Linked DNA regions of Schizosaccharomyces pombe. The protein of the gene in region 2 interacts with the protein of the main gene of each other region in a biochemical or structural test. Each region holds a gene or a part of one and is shown on either strand. Other genes may lie near its edges. The genes, in order: pmt3 and ulp2.

Region 1 (7,048 bases), on a different chromosome or scaffold from region 2:
CGTCTTCGCTTGCTTGATGAACAGATTAAGCGTGCTTATGAATCAGCACAGAATAACGAGGACAATAAGGATGGAAGTTCAAGGGAGCAACCTGTACTACATGAGATTGATCTTTCAAAAAAAGGAAACCCGATTCAACTTAATTTATCCTCATCTTCAGATTCTCACTCTGCTCAAAATGAATTTTTTCAAACAAGAAATACACCCACATTTTCTTTTTCTAGTTCATCCTCCCAGACCTCCTTGAAGCACAAACCAAAAAATGTTTTTGCAGAGCTGAATAAAAGCCGTAAAAAGAACAATAAGGATTCTTTAGATCAAGGGCAGAATGTAAAAAGGCCACGGTCAGCTGTTGAAGACATTATTGCTCAAGAAACAATGAGAGAGAAAAGACGCAATATAAAGCTCTAACCGGAGAATTGACGTTTTTAAAAGGCTTCAAAAGTGAGAATTTATTTATTGGTTTATTATTTATAAAAAAAATACGCTTGTACTTGTACTTTTACTTTTAATGTAGCTTATTTAACCGTATATGTGTTATTTAGTAGCCTTTCTGCTAGCTTAGTCTACTTGATTTGAAGGTGCTGTAAAATACATGAAAGCTCCAAATTTCATATAATTTTGCTTTCACTTGATCTAAGTTAGAGATTTAATAACTTATATTTTACTATAGTACATATATATGAAAATGTTCGATACGTTAGTAATTGTAGCACAATTCCGTATACAACCTTGCCTGAACAAACATAATCAGTTAAGACATGGCTTCGGAATTTTCCGGTCAAATACAAGAATTGCTGTCTAGAATACCTCCTGTAACAAGGTATATTCTGCTTGGAACAGCAGCTACCACAATTTTAACTTTATGTCAACTTCTTTCACCTTCGATGCTAGTTCTGCATTATCCGTTAGTCGTTCGTCAGAAACAATGGTATCGTTTATTTACTAATTATCTCTATGCTGGAACTGGATTTGATTTTATCATGAACATTTATTTTTGTACGTAAATCCATTAAAACCTGTATTTAAATTCTAACGTTTTGTCAATAGTTTACCAATATAGCACATACCTGGAAAACTTTGTCTTTGCTAGGAATGCAAAAAAATACATTATTTATTTAGTTAAAGTTGCTCTTTTAATTGATGTAAGGAGTATTTGAAGGTCTAAAGTATGCTTATTAACGTTTCTCTTTAGGCATTTTCCTTGATCTCAGGACTTGGAAGCGCGTTAAATCAATCGCTTGCCGCTGCCATTGCTTATAATTGGTCTTTGTTTAACTCATTTTCCAAAATCCAGTTTTTGTTTGGTTTTCATGTTCAAGGCAAATATTTGCCATATGTTCTTCTTGGCTTCAGCTTTCTAACCGGAGGTCTTCCATCTCTAGTAGTATTGGGTTTTGGTATTATCTCTGCAATGATCGTCAATTTTTTTGATTCGATTCACACTCCTGTTGTCCATCGCTCCAACTCTCCCAAATTGAATTCCCAAAAGGTGTCTGGAACATTCATTGGGAAGGGCAAAAAGTTAGGCACTTAATTTTTCATATTGATGATTTCATTAAGTGCGTTAAAAACAGTCGATACGTGTTCGAAATTTTTATCAATATTTCTTACTCCATTCATCACCTGTCGAGTCTGGTAGGCAAACTTTCACAATTTTCAATAATGCATCAATGAGTTCCACTATTTCAAATTTTTGATGAATAATATTTCACTTCTTTCCTGTACGAACACGACGGCTTTCTCATTCATATGCTGATAGCTAAAAATCCGAACTACACTAATTTGTTGAAATGTAGCCCTTTATTATAATGTTCTTATCTAAATTTCTTTTTTTATCCTTCACCAATAGACTAAAGTAAACATATGTACAAATTGACGTGCGAGGCATATGCACTTAGAAATCTTTTATTTTACGTTCATAAAGTAAAGTGGGCCTATACCACGTAGAGTACACAGATCAACTACCAGCCAGTGTACGGTGAAGCAGGCATGGAGAATTCAAAATGGGGAGGTTTTCTTAAGAAAGCAATGTCAAATGTTGAAACCAGTATTGACAAAGTCTTAGACGGTAATCAGATTGAGGAGATGTCACGAGGAAATGCAAAATCAAAAGATGAGATTATCGCAAAGCTTCTTACGGAAGGACAGGCGCTTTCAAAAAATGAGTTAAAGTTAAACAATACAATTAAGCAACTTAAAAAGAGTTTAAGTGAAGCTGAAACAAAGTTGAAGCGCCTAGACGAGAAACAAGCGACTCCGGAATTACAGGTATCTGACTCAAAGGAGATGGAGGAACAATTGGAACTACAAAAGTCTCAATTTGAAAAGAGGATATCAATTTTAGAGAAAGAAAAGGAGGATCTTCAAAGAAAAATGGAAGAACTTACAGTAGAAAGCATGGAGGTTGTTCGTCTTACGCGTCAAGTAGAGACCCTCTCAACCCAGTATTCGATTCAAAGGAGTCAATGGGTACGTGAAGATGAAAAGAAGAAAAAGGAAATTCAAGACCTGAAAGAACTTTATGAGAAATCCGAGCATGGTGCAAAGAATTGGGAAAGGGAACGTGAGACTTTCCAGAATCAAGTATCTCAAATGTCTAAACAGTTAGATTCATTGGAGAAACTTTGTGAAAGGAAAGATGAAGAAATAAGGAGTTCTCAGGCTTTTAATATGACATTGAGAGAGGAAAATGATACTTTAGCAGCCCAAAATTTGGACTTACAAACACAACTAGACCGATTACAAAGGGAGCTTGACACTAATATAAGAAGTAATGTTAAATCTAAGCCTAAAAAAATTGTCACTACAGGAGGAATTCCTGAAAATAATGATTATACGGTTGGAAAGGTAGATACGCTTAAAGTCACCAAAGAAGATGAAGATCCCACTACCCCTACTAATGCTATTCCGATACCTTCATCTATGAGCAAGCGTGATGAAGCTTTAGAAAATGACAAAGATAATTATTTTGACGACCTACATCCCTTAAATATTTCAACAAGTCCGCAACCATCTCCTTTGAGTTTTTCAGAAATCCCACAAAGCGATACACGGAATGCTTTAGAAAACTTTTTGGATAATCTTCCTTCCCCTTCAGAAGAGAGATCCAGAATTTCCAGATCAGCATCAGAAGCGCGAAAGTTGGGTATAAACGCTCAGTCAAGGTATGCTTCCATAAGCAGTGCAGTTCTTTCTCCTCCTTCGGAAGCTTCAAGAAAATTTAGCCTATACGAATCTGAGGCAATATCACCAACATCAGGGACACCCAGCAATCTTGAAAAAGGTGCCGGGAATGTTCCTGATGTTAGTCTTTTGGAGCAACTTGCTACCACAATTCGCCGATTAGAAGCCGAACTACAAACAACTAAGCAGCAAGTAGCGCAACTTATAATCCAAAGAGATCAGGCCCGTCAAGAAATTGTTGATGCCTATGTAAATAATGATGCAAATGAAGATTCAAAAAAGCAAGTGGAAGAGCTTAGACTACAATTACAGAACCTCGAAAAAGAGCATGCCAGTACGTTGGTAACACTTAAGCAGAAAAGTGACAAAGTGTTTGAATTAGAGCTGGACATTAAGGATATGCGTGAACTTTATGTCAGTCAAATTGATATATTGGCAGGCAGGCAATAACGTTTGGAAAAACTTGTATTAAAAAAAAATAATTTTAATATAAATCATTTTATTTAATTTCATTGATTCTTTCAAATATTTTGAGCGACGATGCTGGAGATGATAAACGTATTGGCAAAATCAAAATATTAGTTTTGAGTATATGAAACAGCTTAAAAATACTTGTACTCTAAAGGCATAGATGGGTGCAACCACCTAACTGTTCTAAGACAGCCTCAATTTGATCGCCATCTTCCATATCAAGCTAAATGTATAGTTAGTACCGGCTTTTGTTGTAAAAGTTTAAAACTTACCTCAGCAGGTGTTTGATCTGGACGAATACGTTCCCCATCAACAAGGAAACGTAAGCTGTTCATACTTTTTCCTTGTCGTGCACAATAAATCTTCATTAACTTGCTGAACTCAGTGGTCTTTTTAATTTTGAAAAATACTTCGTTGTTATCCTACATCAAGTTAGCTTCACGATTCGTGCATTAAAGACTTTTGAAAGCAAAAGATGACAGGAATAGCATGAAAGTCTCTTGCTGTAGCACACACCTGTCCGACAACTTTCAAATTGATATGCTCTGTGGATGGTTTGACATCTTGTTGCGAAGTGTCACCTGTGGTAGGAGTGATAGCACTTTTGTCAGCATCAGAAATGTTTGCTGATGGTGATTCAGACATTTTTTCTCAGATACTATATAAAATCGAATATACAGGTACAGGGGGGTACAATCAAATTCTCATAGATCAGGAATGACTGTTGTGATTGTTTGAAGCAAGAATAGCGTAATGTGGTATATAATATAACGTGTATAAATCTACTCCACTATTTTGTTTAGTTGTGTCTTAAAGCTACGTTAATTATTTGCTTACTACGTTTACTCTGCTTATAACAATGGTTAGAAAACCGTAAACTGCAAATCTACAAGAATTTTTGAAACGCTAGCAAATATTTGTCGAACTATAAAAATAAAGCCGTCGATAAATAAGCCGGTTTATATCGTTTTGTTATAAAAGACAATTTTGTTGATTTCATCGGTGTTAAACCTTTACTTGAATCTTTTTAATATTTTCGAATTAATTGGCATAATAATCAAGCATTAATATTCTTATTTATTTACCTTAAAAATGTCTTATATGAATAATACTTTTCAATCTAATTATGATTATTCTAAGGACAAAAACTTTATGTCAACAGACATTGGACCTTCGATGCGTGAAATGAAGGCACAGAAGCGTCGTAGTCGTCCTATGGATAATCCAGATGCTGATAATCCCTATATTCCTAAATTCATTTCAACCGCTCCTTGGTATGCTCAGGATGATGATGCGGTCGAAAGATTAGCCCATCAAAGGATAGGCAAGAAAGAGACACCAAGTGGTGGTCGTTCCTCCATTGAAGGCTCTTGGTACGTTAGAGGGAAAAAATTAGGACCTGCTGCTACAAAATATCGAAAGGGTGCTTGTGAGAATTGTGGAGCCATGTCCCATAAAGTTAAAGATTGCATGGAGCGACCAAGAAAGCGGGGTGCTCGTTGGACAGGAGAAGATATTCAAGCAGACGAAGTTATTCAAGATATCAACGTTTCATGGGATGCGAAACGTGATCGTTGGAATGGCTATGATGCCACGGATTATAAGAAAGTTATTGAGAGATATGAAAAATTGGACGAATTACAAAATAAGGGGGAAGAGAATAGGGATGCGTCAGAAAATTCTGCTGTTAAAGCATCAAGAAATTCCACCGTTTCTGGTTCCGAAGATTCTGCATCCATAACTACACCAAGCCTTAGAATGCGAGAAGATGTGGTGGCGTATTTGCGAGCTGACAATAAAAACTTACAATATGAACCCAAATCCAGATCAATGAGAGACGAAACTGGATATCATATGGTGGATGATTCTTCTGGAGGTGCTGGCTTTGTCAAAGCATCTGGTGGTGAAAAAGAAGACTTCGAAAAACTACAAATGTTTGCCTGGGAAGCTGAGCGTTCTGGAACTCGTGTCCATGTTGTAGCCAATCCAACAGCTGGTGAGCTGGAATTTCGAAAAAACAAGGCATCTCGTATGACTACCCAGAAACATATTGATCAAAGCATATTAGATCGTTATGGGGATGGTACCTCTAAAGTGAAAGACAAAAAAGCAAAAAATAACGAAAAAGAAGTTCCGGATTTAGCTATTCTTGATAAATCTGAAAAAAGCAAAGGAGAGTCGAACACAGATGAAGAATCCGAAAACTTAGTTATTGTTGAAGGGGACTTATGATTTTATTTATATATCTAATAATATCTAATAATGACTGAATGTACTGCAATGACATTTTTCTAAATATAACACTAATTAACTTGTTATTATTTCTTTAAATTTTATCTTACTTCGTTGAACAAGAGACTTCTGATATTGTCTAGCGATGGTGCAATTGTACTTTCCAGATTTGTTTAACGAAGTTTTAAGAAACTTTGTTATGTATACATTCTGTCAGAAGGGTAAACATCGTTAAAATATTCTTGCCTATGGATAGAGGAACTTTTGTACTGAACACCTTCAATTCTCCATTATCAAATTTTTATTTAATGTCTTCGAAACTATCGAAAAAGAAATTAAAATCTTTGGAATACCGCTCCAAAAAATTTGATAAAAAGTCGCAAAGTTTGGAAGAGCATGAGAAGAAAGTACAGCAAAAGAATGAGGAATTAGAAAAGAAAGCCGCTGACAAAATATCGAGAGATGAACTACCAGAAAAGCAACTAGCACAATCAAATGATAAAGATAAACATAGCGTTTCAAATCCCCCTCATAAAACTTTGAAAAGCAAACGACAGAAAGGGAAAAATAATGACAGAAAGGTCATTTTGTTTGTTGGTAATTTGCCTAAGGATTCTTCTGTTGAAACTCTACAACTTCATTTCAAACGCGCAGGTCAAGTTCCTTCGGTTCGTATTCCTACCGATAAAACTAGTGGTCGTCAGAAAGGATATGCATTCGTTGAGTTTATAAATCCCAAGACCGATGTTATTTCAAAAGCTTTAAAGTTTCATCATACTATTTATAAGGAAAGGAAAATCAATATTGAATTAACTGCCGGAGGAGGCGGCAAAACAGAAGCCCGCATGAATAAAATTAAGGAAAAAAATCGCAAATGGAAAGAAGAAATGAGACAACGGGTTGCTAGCGAGGAACAGCAGGCAGGCGAGGAAAAGATGGCCAGGAAAGCTGTTGCAGATGAGGGATTGGAATCTGGAATTCACCCTGATCGATTGAGATTATTGCAATAAATCAAATTCCTTGGAAAATTTAAGCGCTTGAGGTTTTTTTGTTTTTTTTTTTTTGTTTTAAATCACATTAGTGTGTCATAGAAATTTACGGGAACGTATTATATCAGCATAGTTGAAGTTTCTAAAAAGTTATGCAATCCGATGGATTA
Region 2 (6,011 bases):
TTATAACGTCAAACGACTGCAAATTATTTTTTCGACCTTCAAAGTTTTATTACATGAGCTTTTGCGTCTTCTCCGTTTACGTTTTTTATTCATTTCTATTCCCCTTTTTTGCCCTTTTCACTTTGGTTGTACAGTTGTTCTGCTCGGTTTATATTAAAACCTTTCTTATGAACTTCAAATAGTTTAACGGCTTTCATTTCATTTTTATGCCCTTTTAGCAGTCTAATCCTTCATTTATGGCCGCTAACCCTACCCATTCTTTTTTTTTCATAGTATACAATTTTTTATACTTAAATACTCATTAAGCACATTTTTTCTTTATTTCGTTGATAGGTTGCTTAAATTTGTATGAAACACGAATACAGTTGTAAAATGCAATGAAGGAAATAATAATATTGCTTAGTGGAAAATACTTCAACTACAAGAAATTGTAATCCTTGATTTAATAAAGACGCATGTCGATTGTCTTATTTAAATCCTGGCATAATAATATAATCCTGAATAAAACAATAGAGCTATAAGCTTCGTTAAGACTGATTAAAGGCATACATAGGCATGACAGATATGAATATTGTTAGAAAGGTGACCGACTAGTCAGTTTATACACCTCTCCGACCAGATCGTTTAAAGAATGTCTTTACAATAAAGACTTGAAGAGCAGAAAGAGCGACAACCATTATAGATTCAGCAAGACTAAACCAAAAGATGCGGGCTTGAGTAGACTTTACAGTAGAATAATTACGATGCTCCCGAGTTTTGAAGTAATTTTGTACACGGTCAATTTCAGATAATGCGGTTGAGATCTCTAAAACAGTACTTTGCATGCTGTCCTTTTTGTAGTCTTTGGCTTCATCACGGGTTAATGCAGGAAGAGAAAGTTCATTTTCCATAGTGATTTCCATAGTCACAATTTTATCAGTAAACGTAGACATATGATTATCAAAACAGAATTCATATTCACCCTTTTCTTCGAGGGTGAAAAATACATCAGCCTGTCTTCTCTTTTTGCCAAGTGCAACGGTCTTCTGAGATGGTGCCTTGATCATATAATCGACATCAAAAGAACCGCCAGACTGAACAGCGTACGTGAAATGTGTTTTTTCGCCAGTGTGAAAAGAATCTAAGTAGTAACACTGCTTCTCTTGGTTTTCTAACTTGAATGTTAACTCAATAGCCGAAGCTAAGCTGGCGAGCAAAAATAGTGTTATGCCGCTTAGAGTAATTACGCGCATTTTCTATAAAGTAAGGTTAATCTTCAAAAATTTAATATAACTTTTAATTCCAATGTATCAAAACAAATTCACTTACGATATGTGAGTAGTTTTATGCTCAGCTGCAGAGTAGGCTGTTGCTACGTTGAGTGTTGACAGTGTGGAATATGCTGTATCGCAAAAGGCAAGTATCGATAGCGTTCTGGGAATATAAATTAGAGTATTAGTCTTAATAAATACTCTTAAAACAATTTTACAAATTTTTCTTCTTTTAATCATTTACAAAATTGTTTATGAAAATGAGTATAAACCCAGAATCATCAGCATACTAATAACAAATAGTAAACCTTCGAAAAATAAAAGCAGAAGTTTTTCTTCTTAATTATCAAAATAATTTGGTGGTTTTAAATGATCTAGTCCCAAACATAGTTTAGAAAGGAAATCGTTCAAAACTAACTTTCTTTACTATGATATCATATAATAAATATTCAAGTAATATTGGTATTATTATACTTCTTCATGATATTATACAAAGGTCAAACAGGTTTTCATGCGTGAATGTCCCATGCTCTTACTTGTTCTTAATGTATTGTTGTTATTTTTTTTTATAATTTACATTGATTTTAATGCGACTATGGTTGCAATTGACTAATGTATCTAATGCATTCGTAAATCAGAGATAAATACAAGTTTAAATAAACGATCTGTAAAATATATTCTAGTCAATAAAAAGAATTTAGAATAGTTTACAAAAAATCATTTTCTTGGAAGTTAACAGCAACATTTTGTTCGCTATTCGTTATTAAAAAATCAAAACAATCGTAATATGATTAATCAAAGGTTAGGAAGAAATCAGCTTAAAAAGCAACTATGCCTTTCGTTTTTTATTCATTTACATTGAGTTAAAGACACTGTTAGAGATACTTACATCCTTTGCATTGGTTGATACCCTTTATTTACATTGTTTTACCCAGATCATCTACCGCAAAATAATGAATCCTTATGTTTTATTTGGACGCGCTGTGGCTCACAAAACCTGTGCCATTGATTAAGTAGTAGGCTTCTCTATCTCGCCAAAACAGGTATGTCATGAAGAATGAGAGATTCCAAAGATGCCGTATGTTATTCTTTTTCGTTTCTTTTTCTTACTAACTATTTTTTAGCTGGATGATAAATCAGGGTCATTCACTAGTCTTCTTCCCCCGTTTGGAAAACAAAGGTTTGACTTTACCTCGTCTTTTAATTCACATTCCTATATTAATATTTTTACAATCTAGAGGTACTAGCCCAAATGATGCTATTCCTATTAAGAGCCCGCTAGAAAGGCTAGCGAATAGTGTAACATCCCCGGAAAAGCCAACGGTTCGAACTGCTATACAGAAGGATTCACCAAGGCGGAAGCAGATAGATGATGATCAAACACCTCCTAAGCACTTAAAACGCTCTTTTCAAAATGTTACAGTGGTTTCTCGTAAGTCGCAACTTTTTTGCTCTGATCCATGTGTAAAGCATGAGGAAATGCAAAATGTTTAGAACAATTCCTCTTCTTCAGTATCAATAATTGATTTTTTAAAATAAAAACTAACTTATTTTTGCCTCTTTTTGGCTACTTTGTTTAGCACGAAAAAAGAAAACAATTGATGTGGTCGAGCTGCCTTTCACAAAAGGGGGTTATGGAGGTTTTTACGATCCTAGGCCTGGGTGTTTAAAATTTACTACCCATGAAATAAATGTTTCTTACACAGATACTAGCATTCCAGTCATTCACATCCCTGTCCAATTGTTGAAGCGGTGTTGCTGGCTTCAAGGATGGAGAGACAATTTGGTGGAATCTCCAGTACATGCTATTCATTTAACCTTAAAAAATAGAGATATGAAAAGAATTACGATAGGTGATTCTGCCAGTTTATTATTTTTATACAACCCATTACATGTAGAATCCGCTAGAGCTGGCCTTGATCTTTTGGACCAATCTGACTTTTCTTTAACATCTCCTAGTTCGGCTAAAGAATTTAAACAATTATTGACTTTAAAACAATCCACGATCATCCCTCGCACTCCCCAGAAAACTGTAAGGTCAATTGTTAAACAGACCTCGTCTCCACATTCCTCAAAAATGCCTAAACATTCCCTTCCATCCTCGCCAACTCCATTTAATTCCAATTCTGGTGACTCTCTTCTTTCCAGGATTAAAAATTCGAACCAGTCATCGTCAGAGCGTCCAACGGCAAATAACGGAGCTCAAGAGCAAAATCAGTCATCAAGTTCTGCTGGAAACACTTCCAATGACTTTTCAACTTTATGTTCTCAAGGTTCTGATAAAACACTTCTGTCTGATGCATCTTGTACCACTATTCTCGTATATCCGTTTTCTGGAACAAATTCAATTGCCATTACTAATACCGACCTTACAAGACTCAATGAGGGAGAATTTTTAAACGATACTATTGTTGATTTTTATTTGAGGTAAGTTTTTTTTTTTTTTTTTTTTTTTTTTTTTTGGAATCTTCGCTTCTTTTAACCTCAAAAATTTAGATATTTATACTGTAAATTACAAACACAAAATCCTTCTTTGGCCAATGACACTCATATTTTTAACACATTTTTCTATAATCGTCTTACTTCAAAAGATAAAGATGGGTATGTAACAGGCTTTACTTCTATCAATTATTTGATCACTAATGGGTAATATAGCAAGCGGCTAGGTCATAGAGGAGTTCGAAAGTGGACTCAAAAAGTTGACCTTTTCCATAAAAAATACATTATTGTTCCTATCAATGAAACATTTCATTGGTATCTAGCTATTATCTGCAACATTGATCGATTAATGCCTGTGGACACAAAACTGGAAGAGCAGGATGAAATAGTTATGTCGTCTGTGGAACAACCGTCTGCTTCAAAGACTAGACAAGCAGAATTAACGAGCAATAGGTATGTTAAAGGTTTACAATTTTATTGATTAAAAGGAAAAATATATCATAAATCATTTGATTCAGTTTACTAAGTTAATTATAGTCCAGCAATTTTGATTTTTGATTCTTTAGCAAATCTTCATAAAGGAGCATTAAATTACTTACGTGAATATTTACTGGAAGAAGCTTTCGAAAGGAAAAATGTACATCTTAAGTCCACTGATATACGGGGGTTTCATGCAAAAGTCCCGCAACAAAGCAATTTTTCTGATTGTGGTATATATGCGTTACATTTCGTCGAACTATTTCTTGAAACTCCTGAGCAAGTGATAGCCAATACTTTAGATAAATCTCTTAGACGGACGGATGCTAAAAACTTCGACCAACAGTGGAACCTTCAAAAGATTAACACGATGAGATGCGATTTGAAGGGTTTAATTCGCCGTCTGTCAACTGAGTGGTCGTCTAACAATGAACGACAATCGCTTAGCAGCGGAAGCAACGATGAAGAAGATAAAGAAAATGATGATGATTTGGCAATATTGCCAATCACAAATTAGAATTTACAAGGGAATTAGGGAAATCATAATTTCATATTAAAACTTAACGAAAGCATTATTATCAAAAATTTTAGCGTAGAAAAATCAACAAAATTCATGTCTATATCGTGTGTATGCTAGCATGTATAACTTCGCTAGCGACGTTTAGTATACAGGTGCTTCCGAAATAAGGCATGATGTTCTTTACTGTCCTTTTTCAGCTGTTTATTAGCACTCTTGTTATATTCCACGTATGCCATATTGTCGGCACCAGCCAATGTACTTAAAGAACCACTAGAACGTTTAGCTTTCGCCGGTGCTCTAGAGAGACTTCTGGATCCAAAGCTAGTATCCTCACCGTCATCCAAATCAGCTGCTTCTTCATTTTGTAGCAATACTTCCTGCAAAAGCTCAAGTCTCTCCGCTTTGGAGGCGTAAGCCAAATTTGGCAAGTTCTCCATACCCTTTAAATTAGTGATGACTTTAAAAGCATAGCCTTGGTCAATTAAAAATGCTTGCCGTTTACTGGAATAATACATTTCCTGAGTGTCTTTAGATACCAAGCTATAGAAAAATGCGTTAAAGCCTTCATCATTTCGTCGCTTGGCACGAAGAATACGCCCCAAACGTTGAGCTTCTTGACGCCTAGAACCATAATGAGAAGAAATCTGAATCAAACAGGTTGCTTCAGGAAGATCAATAGACGTATCACCAACTTTAGAAAGGAAAATGGTATTTACAAGTTCATTATACTGGAAATTTTCCAAAATCCTCATTCTTTCCTGCTGTGGAGTTCCACCATAAATAAAATATTTGCCTAATTTTATTGCATAAGCACGCAAAGCATAGACATTGTCTGAAAAAACGATAATTTTATCACCACGTTTTTCGTGATAATCGATGAGGAATTGACAAGCCTGAAATTTTTTAGGATTCATGATATAAAGTAGCATTCTTTTTCGGGAGTTTTCTCGAAGATATTCATTATAAAACTCAGTGGTCATCGCGCACCAAACTTCGGCGCATTGAACCTTAGCGATGTGACCTTTTTGTGCCAAATCCATCCAATTTGCTTCGTACATTTTAGGCCCAATCAAAAAATTTAAATCATCAATTTTATCATCCTCACGAACTAACGTAGCAGTTAACCCAAGCTTTGTGTGAGCGGCAATTGTGGTGACAACTCGCCGAAACATGGCAGCAGGAACCACATGTACTTCGTCTAATAGGATAAACCCCCATTCACGTCCCGTAAGAAAATCCATCATTTTTTGAGAATCATAGGATCTATTCCTGGTATTGGCAACCATTGAGTACGTGGAGACAACCACACCTGCTTCGCTGTGAAA

Evidence for each region.
Region 1: of the proteins of ulp2 (region 2) and pmt3, one has a biochemical effect on the other in vitro, tested with the Schizosaccharomyces pombe proteins (one study listed by BioGRID).

Annotation. Positions count from the first base shown.
Region 1 is NC_003423.3:2,504,148-2,511,195, reverse strand, and holds pmt3 (small ubiquitin-like modifier pmt3), read right to left. Parts: upstream 4,352-7,048; 5' UTR 4,303-4,351; coding exon 4,174-4,302; exon of another isoform or gene 4,080-4,173; coding exon 3,930-4,079; exon of another isoform or gene 3,881-3,929; coding exon 3,806-3,880; 3' UTR 3,637-3,805; coding exon of another isoform or gene 1,993-3,636; 3' UTR 1,538-1,992; coding exon of another isoform or gene 1,196-1,537; 3' UTR 1,146-1,195; coding exon of another isoform or gene 1,051-1,145; intron 1,033-1,050; 3' UTR 1,000-1,032; downstream 1-999. Other genes in the region: kin17 (KIN17-like protein), read left to right, coding at 1-411; Der1 family protein, read left to right, coding at 762-999, 1,051-1,145, 1,196-1,537; tmf1 (TATA element modulatory factor-like protein), read left to right, coding at 1,993-3,636; splicing factor Slu7, read left to right, coding at 4,750-5,889; SPOM_SPBC365.04C (RNA-binding and ribosome biogenesis protein), read left to right, coding at 6,198-6,899.
Region 2 is NC_003424.3:1,763,008-1,769,018, reverse strand, and holds ulp2 (SUMO deconjugating cysteine peptidase Ulp2), read left to right. Parts: upstream 1-2,285; 5' UTR 2,286-2,307; coding exon 2,308-2,328; exon of another isoform or gene 2,329-2,374; coding exon 2,375-2,430; exon of another isoform or gene 2,431-2,488; coding exon 2,489-2,682; exon of another isoform or gene 2,683-2,763; intron 2,764-2,830; coding exon 2,831-3,677; intron 3,678-3,746; coding exon 3,747-3,851; intron 3,852-3,852; exon of another isoform or gene 3,853-3,905; coding exon 3,906-4,142; intron 4,143-4,226; coding exon 4,227-4,683; 3' UTR 4,684-4,786; downstream 4,787-6,011. Other genes in the region: erp2 (COPII-coated vesicle-associated protein Erp2/3/4), read right to left, coding at 600-1,232; transcription factor TFIIH complex ERCC-3 subunit Ptr8, read right to left, coding at 4,818-6,011.